Linked DNA regions of Coturnix japonica. The protein of the gene in region 1 interacts with the protein of each later gene in a biochemical or structural test. Links are inferred from orthologs where the notes say so. Each region holds a gene or a part of one and is shown on either strand. Other genes may lie near its edges.

What was found.
Region 2: the proteins of PINK1 (region 1) and BAG2 form a complex in vitro, tested with the Homo sapiens proteins (2 studies listed by BioGRID). The link is inferred for Coturnix japonica from reciprocal best matches to the Homo sapiens genes PINK1 and BAG2.

Annotation. Positions count from the first base shown.
Region 1 is NC_029536.1:4,263,483-4,269,794, forward strand, and holds the start of PINK1 (serine/threonine-protein kinase PINK1, mitochondrial), read left to right. Parts: upstream 1-2,766; coding exon 2,767-2,784; exon of another isoform or gene 2,785-3,028; intron 3,029-3,232; coding exon 3,233-3,619; intron 3,620-4,412; coding exon 4,413-4,679; intron 4,680-4,923; coding exon 4,924-5,027; intron 5,028-6,053; coding exon 6,054-6,236; intron 6,237-6,312. UniProt on the Homo sapiens protein: Serine/threonine-protein kinase which acts as a sensor of mitochondrial damage and protects against mitochondrial dysfunction during cellular stress.
Region 2 is NC_029518.1:79,191,170-79,197,491, reverse strand, and holds the end of BAG2 (BAG family molecular chaperone regulator 2), read left to right. Parts: intron 1-2,716; coding exon 2,717-2,826; intron 2,827-3,429; coding exon 3,430-3,830; 3' UTR 3,831-4,336; downstream 4,337-6,322. UniProt on the Homo sapiens protein: Co-chaperone for HSP70 and HSC70 chaperone proteins. Acts as a nucleotide-exchange factor (NEF) promoting the release of ADP from the HSP70 and HSC70 proteins thereby triggering client/substrate protein release.

The DNA.
Region 1 (6,312 bases):
TTTTTGGGGTGGTGCCTCCTTTGAGTCCTACAAATAGCACAGGGGTGTGGGTGATTTTGGCTATGGAATAACCTTTTTTTTTCCCATTGCCATCATTAGGTTTCAGAGTGAACTAGGAAGGGGATCGTCCTATTAGCCCCATGTATGGGGATATCAGGGATGGGAAATGGTTCTCAACCACACAAGGGGGACGTGACCACCCCTTAGGATGGCGCAGAACAGTCCTTATCTGTGCTCAGCAATAGGATTGTGCAGCAGCAGGGGAAGGCAGCGTCAGGAAGACTTTCCATCCGCTTCCCCTGCTGTGTGTTGGCTGTCAATGAGAAACTAAGGGAGGAGGAGCGGGGGAGGGTTGGGAGGGAGGGATGAGAGGGAAATGTGCTATTTCTTGTTTGCAACCCAATGGTTTTCTTCCCTTTGACCTCTCTGTGGCTCCCCCCAGGACGTTCCTGGCACCAAATTCCTGCTGGGGAGGAAGGAAAACAAGGCTGTGTATGAAAACACTCCAGCTTAGAACACACAGACACACACATAAAAAGGGAAAACACAGAGAAAAATTGCTCAACCTCCACCACCCTGATCCCAATAACTCCAGGCTGGGGATGATGCCCAAGCGCACACGTGGGGCGTTATCCCTACAGGGCGTTGCAATCAGGGCAATATTTAACCACGTCGGCGTCATCGTGTGGGGCAGGCAGTGCAGACATGGAGGGCAGTGAGTGCCTTCAGCTGCTGCTTCGCCGCTGTCGTGAGGCCAAAGATTGTGCCTACTGCCCCTACAGCCGCTTCCCTGTGGGTGCCGCGTTGCTCACCGCCAATGGGGAGATCTTCTCCGGTGAGATATTGCTTTGGGGTTGTGGGGTAATGGTCTATTTGGGTTCCGGGGGGTCACTTTGGGATGGTGCCCCCCACTATGGGTTCTGGGGTGTTGGCTGTTTTGGGTTTGGCTTGAGCCCTGTGGGGTTTTGGGGTGGTGGAGCCTTTGGGTTTGGAGTGATTCCCTTGGGGTTTAGGGTGGCATTCGCTTTGATAATCTCTTTTATGTTTTTCTGGGGGGCTTTTAGTGCCTCCTTTGGGCTTTGGGGTGGTTCCCCCAGTGATTTTGGGGCAAACACTTTGTGTTTTGGTGGTCCCCCTATGATTTTGAGGCAGTTCCTTTGGGTTTTTGTGTGGTTCTCCCTTTGGGTTTTGGGCAATCCCTTTTGTTTTTGGAGCGTTGCACCTTTAGGTTTTCAGATGGTTCCCTCTTTGCTTTCTGGGGTGGTTCCTCCTTTGCTTTTTGGGTTGGTCCCCTCTTTGCTTTTGGGTTGGTCTGTTTGGGTGTTGGGGTGGTGCTCCCTTTGGGCATTGGGTGATTCCTTTGGCTTTTGGAGTGTTTCACCCTTTAGGTTTTGAGGTGGTTCCCCCTTTTCTTCTGGGGCAATCCCTTTACTGTTTGGGTGTTCCCTTTGCTTTACGGGGCAGTGTCCCCTTTGACTTTTATGCAATCCCTTTGCTTCTTGGCATGCTTCCCTCTTTGCTTTTTAGTCAATCCCTTTCCTTTTTGGAATGCTTCCCTTTTGCTTTATGGGGTGGTGAGTGATGCTGGTGCTTCCCTATAGGATGCAACGTAGAGAATGCCTGCTACAGCCTTGGGATGTGCGCTGAGCGTGCAGCCATCCTAAAAGCCATCTCCGAAGGGCACACACGCTTCAAGGCCATGGCCATTGCCAGGTGAGGCCATTGGCACCCATGGCACCACATCACTCTATGGGTTTTAGGGTGATGCCCCATTTGGGTTTTGTTCAATCTCTTTGGGGTTTTGGCGTAGTGCTCCCTTTTGGGGTGCTGCCCACTTTGGGTTTTGGCTGATCGCTTTGTTCAATGGGGTGGTTCTCCCTTTGAGTTTTGGGCAGTCCCATTGGGTTTTGGGGAATCCCTTTGGGTTTTGGAGTGTTCCGCCCTTTGGATTATTGGCTATTCCTTTGGGCTTTGGGGAGGTACCCCCTTTGAGTTTGGGGTGATCCCTTTGCTTATTGGGATGGTTCTCCCTCTAATTCTGAGGCAATCTCTTTGGTTTGGGGGGTGATTCCCCCTTTGATTTTAGGGCATCCCCTTTGGGCTTTGTGGTGGTGCCCCCTTTGGGTTTTGGGTAATACCCTTTGGGGAGGTGCCCTATTTAGGTTCTGGGTGATTTCATTGGGTTTTGGGTGATCCCTTTCTTTTCCAGTGTGGTTCCACCTTTAGTTTTGGAGCGATCCCTTTGGGTCTGGGGGAATCTCTTTGGGTTTCTATGTCTGATTCCCTTTGGCTTTTGGGATGGAGTGATACTGAACCTGGTGTGGCTCTTTTGCTTTGGCAGTAACATGTCAGACTTCATCACGCCATGCGGGGCCTGCAGACAGGTGATGAGAGAGGTGAGTGGAGCCCCTGCCATGCTGGGGGCATGGAGGGCCACAAGGAGCTGCAGGCCACCATGGATGGGGGCCACCCCTCCATCTCTGGGCTGAACAAACTAAGGGAGCCCAGCAGTTGAGCTGAGCTGTGGGTGCTGCAGCATGGATTCCCTATTGACCCTCTCTCCTGCTTTTCTCCTTGTAGTTTGGCACAGACTGGGACATCTACCTGACCAAACCTGATGGCACCTACATTGTGAAGACACTACGGGAGCTCCTGCCACTCTCCTTTGGCCCCGAGGACCTGCAGAAGGCATGAACTGCACACCTGCATTTCCCTTTCAGCACCTTGGATCACTCCCCCTCTATGCAATTGACTCCATTGGGGACAATGGAGTTTGCTCCATGGGTGTTGCTTGGATCCAATGCAGCCCAACAGGGGATAAAAAGCAATATCAGCTCCAGTTCCCAGCATTATCCAGCAGCCATTTGTGCACTGTGTTCACCGTGCAGCCAATGTGATGCCACAGCTCCTTTTTTTAGCCTATTTTTCTCCTTTCTCTCTATATTTTTGCTTGCTTTCGTGAGGACAAAGAGCAATTCCTTGACAATGAAACAGCAATGGAACAAAACCCAATGACGTGTTACTTTAACGAGGCATGCTGTGCTCTGTGCCCTGTTGGACCATGCCCTGCGTGCTCAGTGCTGTGTGCACTATGCCCTCCATGCACTCACTGCACTCCATGCACCAATGCATGCTGCACCAATGCAACCTGCAGCAGCACCTTAAGCCCTCACCTTGCGCATGCGCATTGCGCATTACGCGCTTCCTCGTAGCCACGCCCCCTTCCTCATAGCCACGCCCCCTCCCCATAACCACGCCCACTTTCCCTGTAGCCCCGCCCCTTCCGCTTCCGCCTTCTTCCCGCCTCTTCCTGAGGCGCTCGGTGGCCGCCATGTTGTTTCGGGTGCTGTTATCCCGGGCCTACCGCCTGCTGCCCGGCCGCCGCCCCCTCCCCATCCCCGTCCCCCCTCCTGTCCCCTCAGCCGTTCCTCCATCTTCCCTCTTTTCCCGGCTGCCATTCGGCCGCTTCTTCTCCTTCAGACGCCCGGCTGGCCTAGCGGCAATGGCGGTGCGGAGGGTCCGGGCCGGGCCTTGTATGGCGTTGGCGTTGGGGCTGGCGCTGTTGGAGCCGCCGTTGGAGGAACAACGAAGAGCGAGGGCGGCGTGTGGCCGGATCCAGGTGTGGGGCTACGGGGAGGGGTTGGACGTGATGAGCTTAGTGGCCTTTTCCAGCCTTAGGGGGGTTCTGTTGTCCCCATGGTTACAGCCTGAATGGCAGCCTCTGGCTGCGGCTTTCGGTCTGTCTTTGTGTGTGGAATCGCTGTATTATTGGGTTGGAAGGGATCTCGGAGCCCATTCAGTACCAACCCGTGCTTTAGGCTGGTTGAAAATAAGGCCATTTTGCACTTAACAGTCACTTGGGCTTTCCTGGTTGATTAAAAGGCATTTTGCTCTTTCCAAGCACTCCAGCTTTCCTTTATTGTGCAGTCTTTGCAGAATCACAGAATGACCCGTGTTGGAAGGGACCTCAAGGATCACGTAGTTCCAACCCCCCTGCCTGGCAGGGCTACCAAACATACACCTTTACTAGATCAGGTTGCCCAGGGCCCCGTCCAACCTGGCCCTGAACACCCCCAAGGACGGGGCATCCACAACCTCCCTGGGCAGCCCGTTCCAGGGCCTAACCACTCTGCTAGTAAACAACTTTCCCCCTAACATCCAACCTAAATCTTCCCTCTTTCAACTTAAAACCATTTCCCTGTGTCCTGCTATTGTCAGCCCTTTTGAAGAGTTTACTCCCCTCCTGGGAGTAAGTTCCCTTCAGGTATTGAAAGGCTGCAGTGAGGTCACCCCGCAACCTTCTCTTCTCCAGGCTGAACAAACCCAACTCCCTCAGCCTGTCAATAAACTGAATAGTCTTGAATAAACTGAATGCTTTTCTCATTCCACTTTTCCTTCGTTTTTCCTTTCAGACGGTGTTTGTTGGGAAGAACAAGGCGCAGAAAGATCCGCTGAGCTCTTTGCGATGGCGGGGCTTTAAGCTGGAGGATTATCTCATCGGGCAGCCCCTTGGGAAGGGCTGCAATGCTGCTGTCTATGAAGCAACTATTCCTTCATCCCTCCATCGCCAGGGGAGCACACAGAGCTCAGCTCTGCCTGTGTCTGAAAAGGAGCCGGCAGATAAAAGCCAACAGCAAGCTGCCTTCCCCCTGGCTATCAAAATGATGTGGAACATCTCGGTAAGGAGTCAGCTCTTAACATCCTCCTTGTGTGTCTGGATATGCCCAGAGTTAGGTTACACAGGGCAACCTGATGTGGTGAGGGGCCACCCAGCCTACATAATGTCTTGGAACTGGATGATCTTTAAGGTCCTCTCCAGTCTAAGCCATTCGATAAGGACAAGACATTGAATGCCTGTTGTTAGTGACAAGTCACACAGCCAGTCATTATTCCTGTGGAGCTGACAGCACGTTGCTGTTGCAGGCTGACTCTTCAAGTGAAGGCATCCTGCGCAATATGCACCGAGAGCTCGTTCCAGCCACACAGACTGCTTTAGCTGGGGAATATGGAGCCATCTCCCATCGCAGGTACAGTATCCATCGCAATGACAGCTGTTCTCAGGGTATTATGTGCTAATTTGATCCAGCTTGATCCATCGGTTTCGTTCTGCAGCACGTCTGTGCTGTACAGAATGCAGCTGGAGGTTTCTGTGATATCTTATGGGAAGAACTGAGCATGAATCCTTGGGATTATTCCATGTGTGTGTGTGCCTTAGCTAAATGGCACTGCCTTTGTTGGTGCTGTATGCCTCAGTTGCCATGCAAGAGCACGCTTCTGCCTATCCTAGTGACTTCCCTCTAGTGAGGGAACAGCGTAGCAGTGGTGCTGTTCAAATAGTAATTTAAAAGTCTTGTTTGCTTTGAGGAGCACTTGGCATGCAGGAGATACCTGCAGCTTGGCCGTGTGCTTCCCTCCAGTGTCTTAGTCTTGAAGAGTGTTGGAAGGACATGGGATGATTAGGAACCCATCTGCTTTGGGTCTGATGGGGCACTGTGCCTCAGCTTCCCCATGTGTAAAGTATGTAAATTGCATTGCTCTCTGATAATGAGTAAGTTAACTGTTGGAAAAGCAGTGAGAACGTACTCCACAGTCCAGACTGCCTGATTTACACTTGAAATATGTCTCAGTTGACAGTATAGATGAATAACAAATGCTGCTTGGTGTGTTGTTACCCTGGGAATGCAATGAAGCCAAAGGACTATCTGATGTTCAGAGAGGAGAGCTCTGTTTTGCAGTTGCATAGTCAGTAACCTGAATGCTTCCTGTCTGTGCTAGTAAATACGAGGTCTAAGGTGATATGTGGCAGTGTGAATCTGGCCTTTATTTTCAGTCTAAAAGGACAGGGTTAGTAGAAAATGAAAGGCTGCATGTTGAGTGTGAGTGTTTCTGCTTATCCATCACACTGCAGGAAATCCAGTCACAAGGTGACAGCAGAACAGACATATTTATCTGCTGCTTTGGAACCCTTTGGTGGAGGGGATGTACCATAGTAATGAAAAATAACCCTGGAGGTCATAGAGATCAGTGTAACTTATGTCTGTATCTTTACACAGAGAACCTGTCCTTGGGAGGAAGAGATTGAGACCTCATCCAAATATAATCCAGGTGATCCGAGCTTTCACATCCTCTGTCCCGTTGCTGCCTGGAGCCCTCACAGACTATCCTGATGTTCTTCCAGTGAGCCTGAATCCCAGAGGGATCGGTCGCAGCCACACACTCTTCTTAGTGATGAAAAAGTAGGTGGGGAGAAGCTTGTTGGGGGCTGGAACTTTGTGGGGTTGCCCAGCAGAGCTGTGTGTTCTGCTGCATGGG
Region 2 (6,322 bases), on another chromosome or scaffold:
CTGCACTCACCACAGTAAGGCACAGACCTGACAGCCTTCTACAAGGAGAGGAAGCTGCCAGAGTCGGGTCTGCCTTAGGCACTGTGCCCTCGCTGCCAGCAGAGCAAGCTGGGGAGGGGCAGTCAGGAGCCCACAGAAATGGCCGCTGGCGTGACTGGGTGTGTAATCCTGTCTGTCAATCTGATACCCACTTGTGACCTTTCCAGGCCCCCTTCTCTGTGGACAGAGGCTATATATCGCCAGTTCAGATTGTATTCACGCATGGCGATTTATTTTCTTCCCTTCTCTTCCTTCTCTTTTTTTTTTTTTAAAGTCAGTCAGTCACTGAAATACCTAGTGGTAGGAACCCACACTGTTACCTTGACAAAGCCTGCCTGCATCTCCTCAGCACGTTCCCCTACCTGTCTCTCTCTCTTCCTGCATAGACCAATACAGTGCTGTTTGTTTCCTTCTACCCAGTCTGCGGGTTCCTGAAGAAGTCACAGAATCACAAGTCCTGCCCTGCTTGTGGTCCAGCTCCCCATAGCTACAGCCATGCCCTTCTCAGCCCTTTTCTCCTGCCCTCTGAGTGCATTTCTCAGGCTGATGACTGAACTCCAGAACCCAGCCCTGCGTGTTTCTGAGTGAAAGCTCACAGGTTCTCATGGTCTGGCCCTCTGGTGCTGCTGGGTGGAGCCTATAAACAGGAGGGGAGTCAACTCTTTGAAAGGGCAGATAACTGCAGGACAAGGGGAAATGGCTTTAAGTTGAAGGAGGATAGATTTAGGCTGGCTGTCCGGGGGAAGTTCTTTACTATGAGAGTGGTGAGGAGCTGGAACAGGCTGCCCAGAGAGGTTGTGGATGCCCCATCCCTGGAGGTGTTCAGGGCCAGGTTGGATGGAGCCCTGGGCAGCCTGTTGTAGTGTTAAATGGGGAGGTTGGTGGCCCTGCCTGTGGTGGGGGGATGGAGCTTCATGATCCTTGAAGTCCCCTCCAACCTGGGCCATTCTGTCATTTCCTCAGCAGTGGTGCAGGGAGCCAGCTGGGGATCAAGTGCTGGGCGCCCTGCAGGTTTGTCACAGCTGATTTAGTTATAAACTTATGTCAATCAAAGGTGTGATTGGTCATTGTTTTTGGTACACAGTCGTTGTCTCTGACAGTCTGGCTTTGTAGGCCATGAACTGGTAGCTTGATCTTGGACGCAGAGCTGGTAAGAGCCACGGGTCAACCTGCGCACTGAGGGCAGACCTTTGCTTTTGAGTCAGGGCAGTGCCAGACTTGAGTTGATGTAAAAATGCTGTTAAAAGTGAAATTTTGCACTTGTTTCAGCTTTCTGGGGACCAAAATGGACTTTCCAAATGGTGACAGTGCTGGTTTTTTTTAAAGGCACGGCGAGGCACGTATGAAAATTCTGCTAGACTTCCTAAATTATAAAGTGCTGACATCTGAAGTATGAAGTGGCTCCACCTGCCCTTATTACTCTTACTAACCCATCCAAAATAACAATTAAGAATATTTGCTCCTGGCAAGAATTTGCATTGCATTAACTTTTCCCATTCCTCCTCACATTAACATGAAAGGGAGGGCCTGAAGCGTGTGGTTTCACTGGGGAACTCAGCCTAAAGATTTCGTCAAACAGAGCCATTCCTTGAGCTCAGCGTGCGTGAGGCGTGTGGGTACTGAAGGCCCTGAGTTCCTGGCCCCACCTGCCTTCTCCCTTTTCCCAGCACCACCACGGAAGAGCACTATAAAGCAAGGAAGAAGAATGAACTGGAGAGTTAGCAGTGCTTCGGTTTGCTTTCGCTTTCTGGACAGACTTAATGAATATACCAGGCCGGGTGCATTCCCTGCCTGTTTGCAGCATCAAGGTCTCTGAGCTGTGTTGAAAGCATCCCAAGCCATTGGCCAGGTTCATGTGATGCTTTGCTTGGACTTGGGATCTCTCCAAGCACCCAGCAGGCGCAGTCAGGAAGGTGCCCCTCCTGCCCCTTCTCTCCTAGGCAGCTGTTCCCCTTGTGCTGCTCTAGGTGACACTGCTCTGAGCAAAAGCCCTCTCCTAAAAGCCGTGGCAGGGAAGAAGCCATGGGTTGTGGGTGAAGAGTGGCAACGCAGCAGCACACAGCTGGGCAGCTCTCTGGCTGAACAGCTCATGGCACAGTGTTGCCCCGTGCCTGACCCCTTGGCAGCAGTGTGCCACGTGTCAGGTTCAGCACAGTGAGTTGTGCAGGGAAAGGGTCTGATTTCAGGATAGCTCAACTGCGTGCTTTCCTGCAAGCCCAGAAATAGGAGCTGACCAGAACAGAGCTTCATCCTCTGTGAGTCACAGCCTCCTGCCAGTTTGCTGCATCTTTATGGAGAGAAACAAACCACAGCGACGTGAAAGCAGGCGCTTGGCAGGACTACCCATAAAGGCAACAAAACATGCTCACCTTGCCTGTCTGTCCCATTCTTCTCACATTACAAAGGAGCTGGTTGTTTTCTATCTATTGGCTCATGTATTCAGTTTTAGAATGATTTTGTGTCTTGAAAGATTAAGTTTTTATGTAGGTGGGGGTCATGGAGTCAGAATGTCTGGAGCACAGATACTTGCAAGCTGACTGCACTTGCAGTGGGGCTCTTTTGTTGATTTTTTTTTTTTTTTTTTTTTTTTTTTTGTTTAATTGAAAGATCTTGGCAGTTTTATGGGGGAAAATGTGTTTTATTATTGAAAGACTTTGTTTGGTTTAACTACGCCCAGGGTAGAGGCTTTCCGTGACGCAGCATCTGCTATGGAACAAGAAAAAGAAACCCTGCTAGAAATGATCCACAACATACAGAACAGCCAGGACATGAGGCACATCAGTGAAGGTGAGAAGCTGCTTTGCCATCCCCTCCTGTCTGCCCTAAAAGCAGACCAGCAAGGGGAGCTGCTCCAGTGCTAAAGGCACCATGCTGGAGCTGGCAGAGGATACCGATGGGCCTTCCCTCCCTCTGGGGTCCCCGTTTCCTTTTTGCTAATGGCCTCTAACTGCATCTGGTAAGCAAAGTAACTCTTCTGTCTGTGGCCTTTCGAGGTGCCGTGTATTTATACTCTTTCTCACAGCAGCATTGAGGGTCCATCCCTCACGTGCCTGCTTTTGTAATGATCAATGCTTCCTGATATGGTGCTTTACTGCAGTGTGACAAAACAAGCACTGTGTCAGCAGTGGAAAAACATCGCTTATACCTTTCTTAAAGCTTACAGCCTAATTTCAGATCAGAAGACACCAGCCTCTGTGACATGGGTGGGACTCAGGCACGTAGATGTAAAACCTCTGGCCCCTGAAAATCAATCTGATTGTCACCTCTTAAAAAGAAAAGAAACAACAGACATCCATGTTGGCACACGGTAGCACTTTGCTTGTCTTGGTGATGTAAAGGCACTGGGAGGTGTTAGTCAGTAACACAGGATACCTTCTGCTTTCGCTTTAGGTGAGAGAGAAGAACTTAACCTGACTGCCAACCGTCTGATGGGCCGAACCCTCACTGTGGAGGTTTCTGTTGAAACCATCCGTAACGCCCAGCAGCAGGAGTCCCTCCTGCACGCCACCAAGATGATCGATGAAATCGTCAACAAGCTCCTGGATGATTTGGAAGACGCCAAAATCCGCTTAATGTCGCTTTACGGCGCGTGCACGTCTGATGTGCCGGCAGGACCCATTGATCAGAAATTTCAGTCCGTTGTCATTGGATGCGCTATCGAGGATCAGAAGAAGATCAAAAGAAGGTTAGAGACTCTGCTCCGAAACCTGGAGAATTCTGAGAAGTCCATCACGTTGCTGGAGCATCAGAAATCCTCGATGAGGCAGCCTTGCATCACCAAACAGGATTAATCTGCCTCGTGGCTACTTCTGGCAAACCACAGAGTGATCCAGTTCTCCATAAAAGCACACAGAAGCTATAAGGAAAATCTCTGTTTACAAGTACACGCATATATACGCATACACATGCACCACGGTATCTTGGATTGCAAGGTGCAGGCATTCTATGGGTTGCGGTAGCATTGGCATTTTGTTTCAGCAATAAGGAATGCTATCATGATTTCTTCTGTAGAGTTGATGCTGCTCTGTTGCAAGTTGTAATGTGCTTCTGCTGAACTGTCAGAATCGATCAGAATCTTGCCTGTCCTCCATTCTCCTCCTTTTATAGAAAAAAACAACTGCGGTTGTTTGGTCATATACTGCGATACCAACTTTTCTCTGCTCTATACATAGTGTGTGAAATAGACTCTTGGGGGAAAAAAAAAAAAGACAAATCATGGCAATAAACAACAACAGCAACAACAAATCAATAAACTGCATATTGTATTTTCATAAACAACACAATGTTTTACTCTTTACTGTGTTGTTCATCATCCTTAGAAGAGAATGACAGATCCTGTGTGTGTCCAAAGAGGCTCAGAGCCCCCACTGAGCAGCCTGTTGTTCTGCTGTTAGTTCACTGAAGGGCAGCATTCTGCTGGTGCTGCAGGGGGCTGCGCTGCTCAGCCCTCACCTGACCTCCAATTGAAGCTCAGCTGTTGGCGCTGTGGGAGGGAAGAGCAGCGCGGGCAGCTGCAGCACCCTGCGTGCGAGGAAGCCTCCACACCTGCAGCAGATTTCTTGCAGTGCCCACCTGAGCTGGGAGCTCATCTCAGGTCCATCTGCACAGCCACCGAGCTCTGCGTCTCCAACCTGTGCCATACGCACGGTGTTGGGACCGCTGCTCTGTGCTTTGGGAGCTTCCAGCACTGCAAGGGCATCGCTGCTGCCATGCATGGGCAGAGATGGAATTGAGATGGGGACCTCCACAGCCACCACATCTTCAGCTATGAGGCTGTGCCTGCTTCCCAAGAGTAATTATAACAATATACATGAGAGGTTCTTGGAAATTGCAATGTGGAATACTTACATTGAAAATAGCACAGTGAGGCTTAGAATATTTATTTTTTAATGGCCATTATCAGGTATTCAGGATGGTACGGAACACGCCAGCTTTAAAGCTGGCGGTACTGTCTGAAGTGTCTCCCATGCCATCACACAGCTGTAAGCCATGGCAAAAAGCATCTGCTGTGCATTCTGCTCCTTTCACACTGGCTCTCCAACATCCATCCCTGTTAAAGTAACTTCAAGCAGCCAAACGTAGCTGGCAATGCAGGTGATAGAAACCAAGAAGAAAAATGTATTGAAGTTGTTATTTTGTAAGGGCTATCTGCTGCCAAAATCAAAACAGTAGGTGAGGCTCAGCAGGCCTAAGACAAAGGTGTAGGAAAGGCACCAAAGTCGCCTGTTGTTTCCTGAGCGCTCAAACAAGGCTCTGCTCCACCTTCCAGCGTATGTCAGCCCCGAAAACAAGACTGAAAGCACCCAGCTGTTCCTGGTGGTTCCCTGGGGCCTGGCGGTAGAAGCTGCCTGGTTTCCAAAGCACAGCACACAAAAGCCCAACCACAACAGCGTGACAGCTTCTGTCTGCATGAGGCTTTCGCTCACCTCTGACCTCAAAATGCTCAGCACAAATAGGTGAGTTTTCTCACATGAAAAGTTTCTGCTTCCCTCAAACACTGCTAAGTAATTCTTATCCGGGTATTATGCAAATAGATGGTTTCTCTGCGTGCTACATTGCATGCAAGAGGAAGCAGCGCTGTATTACTTTTCAGACTCCTGGGATACCTGGAAGGTAAGAGGCAGACACAGATGCCACAAGTTCTACTTTACTTTAGATGAAATTAAGCATGAAAATCAACACACTGGTTACCTCTGTTTGCGTTCAGAAAATGCATCAGACCTATTAATACGTTGCTAATTTAAGCTCTGTCACTATGTCAGCCAGATCAATTATGAAAACTAAAAAGACCTCGGGGAGCAGAAGAGAATCCATATTTTCTGTTGGAGTTCTGTGGTGAAGAAAAAAGGGGCGGGAGCTCAGCAAACGCGTCTCAATTAGCTGGGGATGCCCACACTGTTCTGAGGAGGCGGGAGGGTGCCTGTGCCGCATGGATCCCAGCTGCTGGCAGCGTACAAGCCAGAGTTCGGCACAGGTTGCTGGGCAGACTCTGGTTGCACAACTAAAGGGTTGTGACAATTTCATGCTATTTAATACGCTGACACTTTAATATGACCACAAAAACACTGAGCGGTACTCAGAGAAACACAGTAAAGGCACACGATGCAACAACCGGTGTCACTTACGGGAGCAGCAGAATTAAGCTGTAGGAATTGTACAGGAACAGTGTGCACAGAATATTCATTTTTAAACATTTATTTTACCACTTGTGAGTTTACTGTAAGATACGATGAGTTCTTTGTAAAAATAGAATACATTTACTTGAAGTTTGTGAAGGTGATAA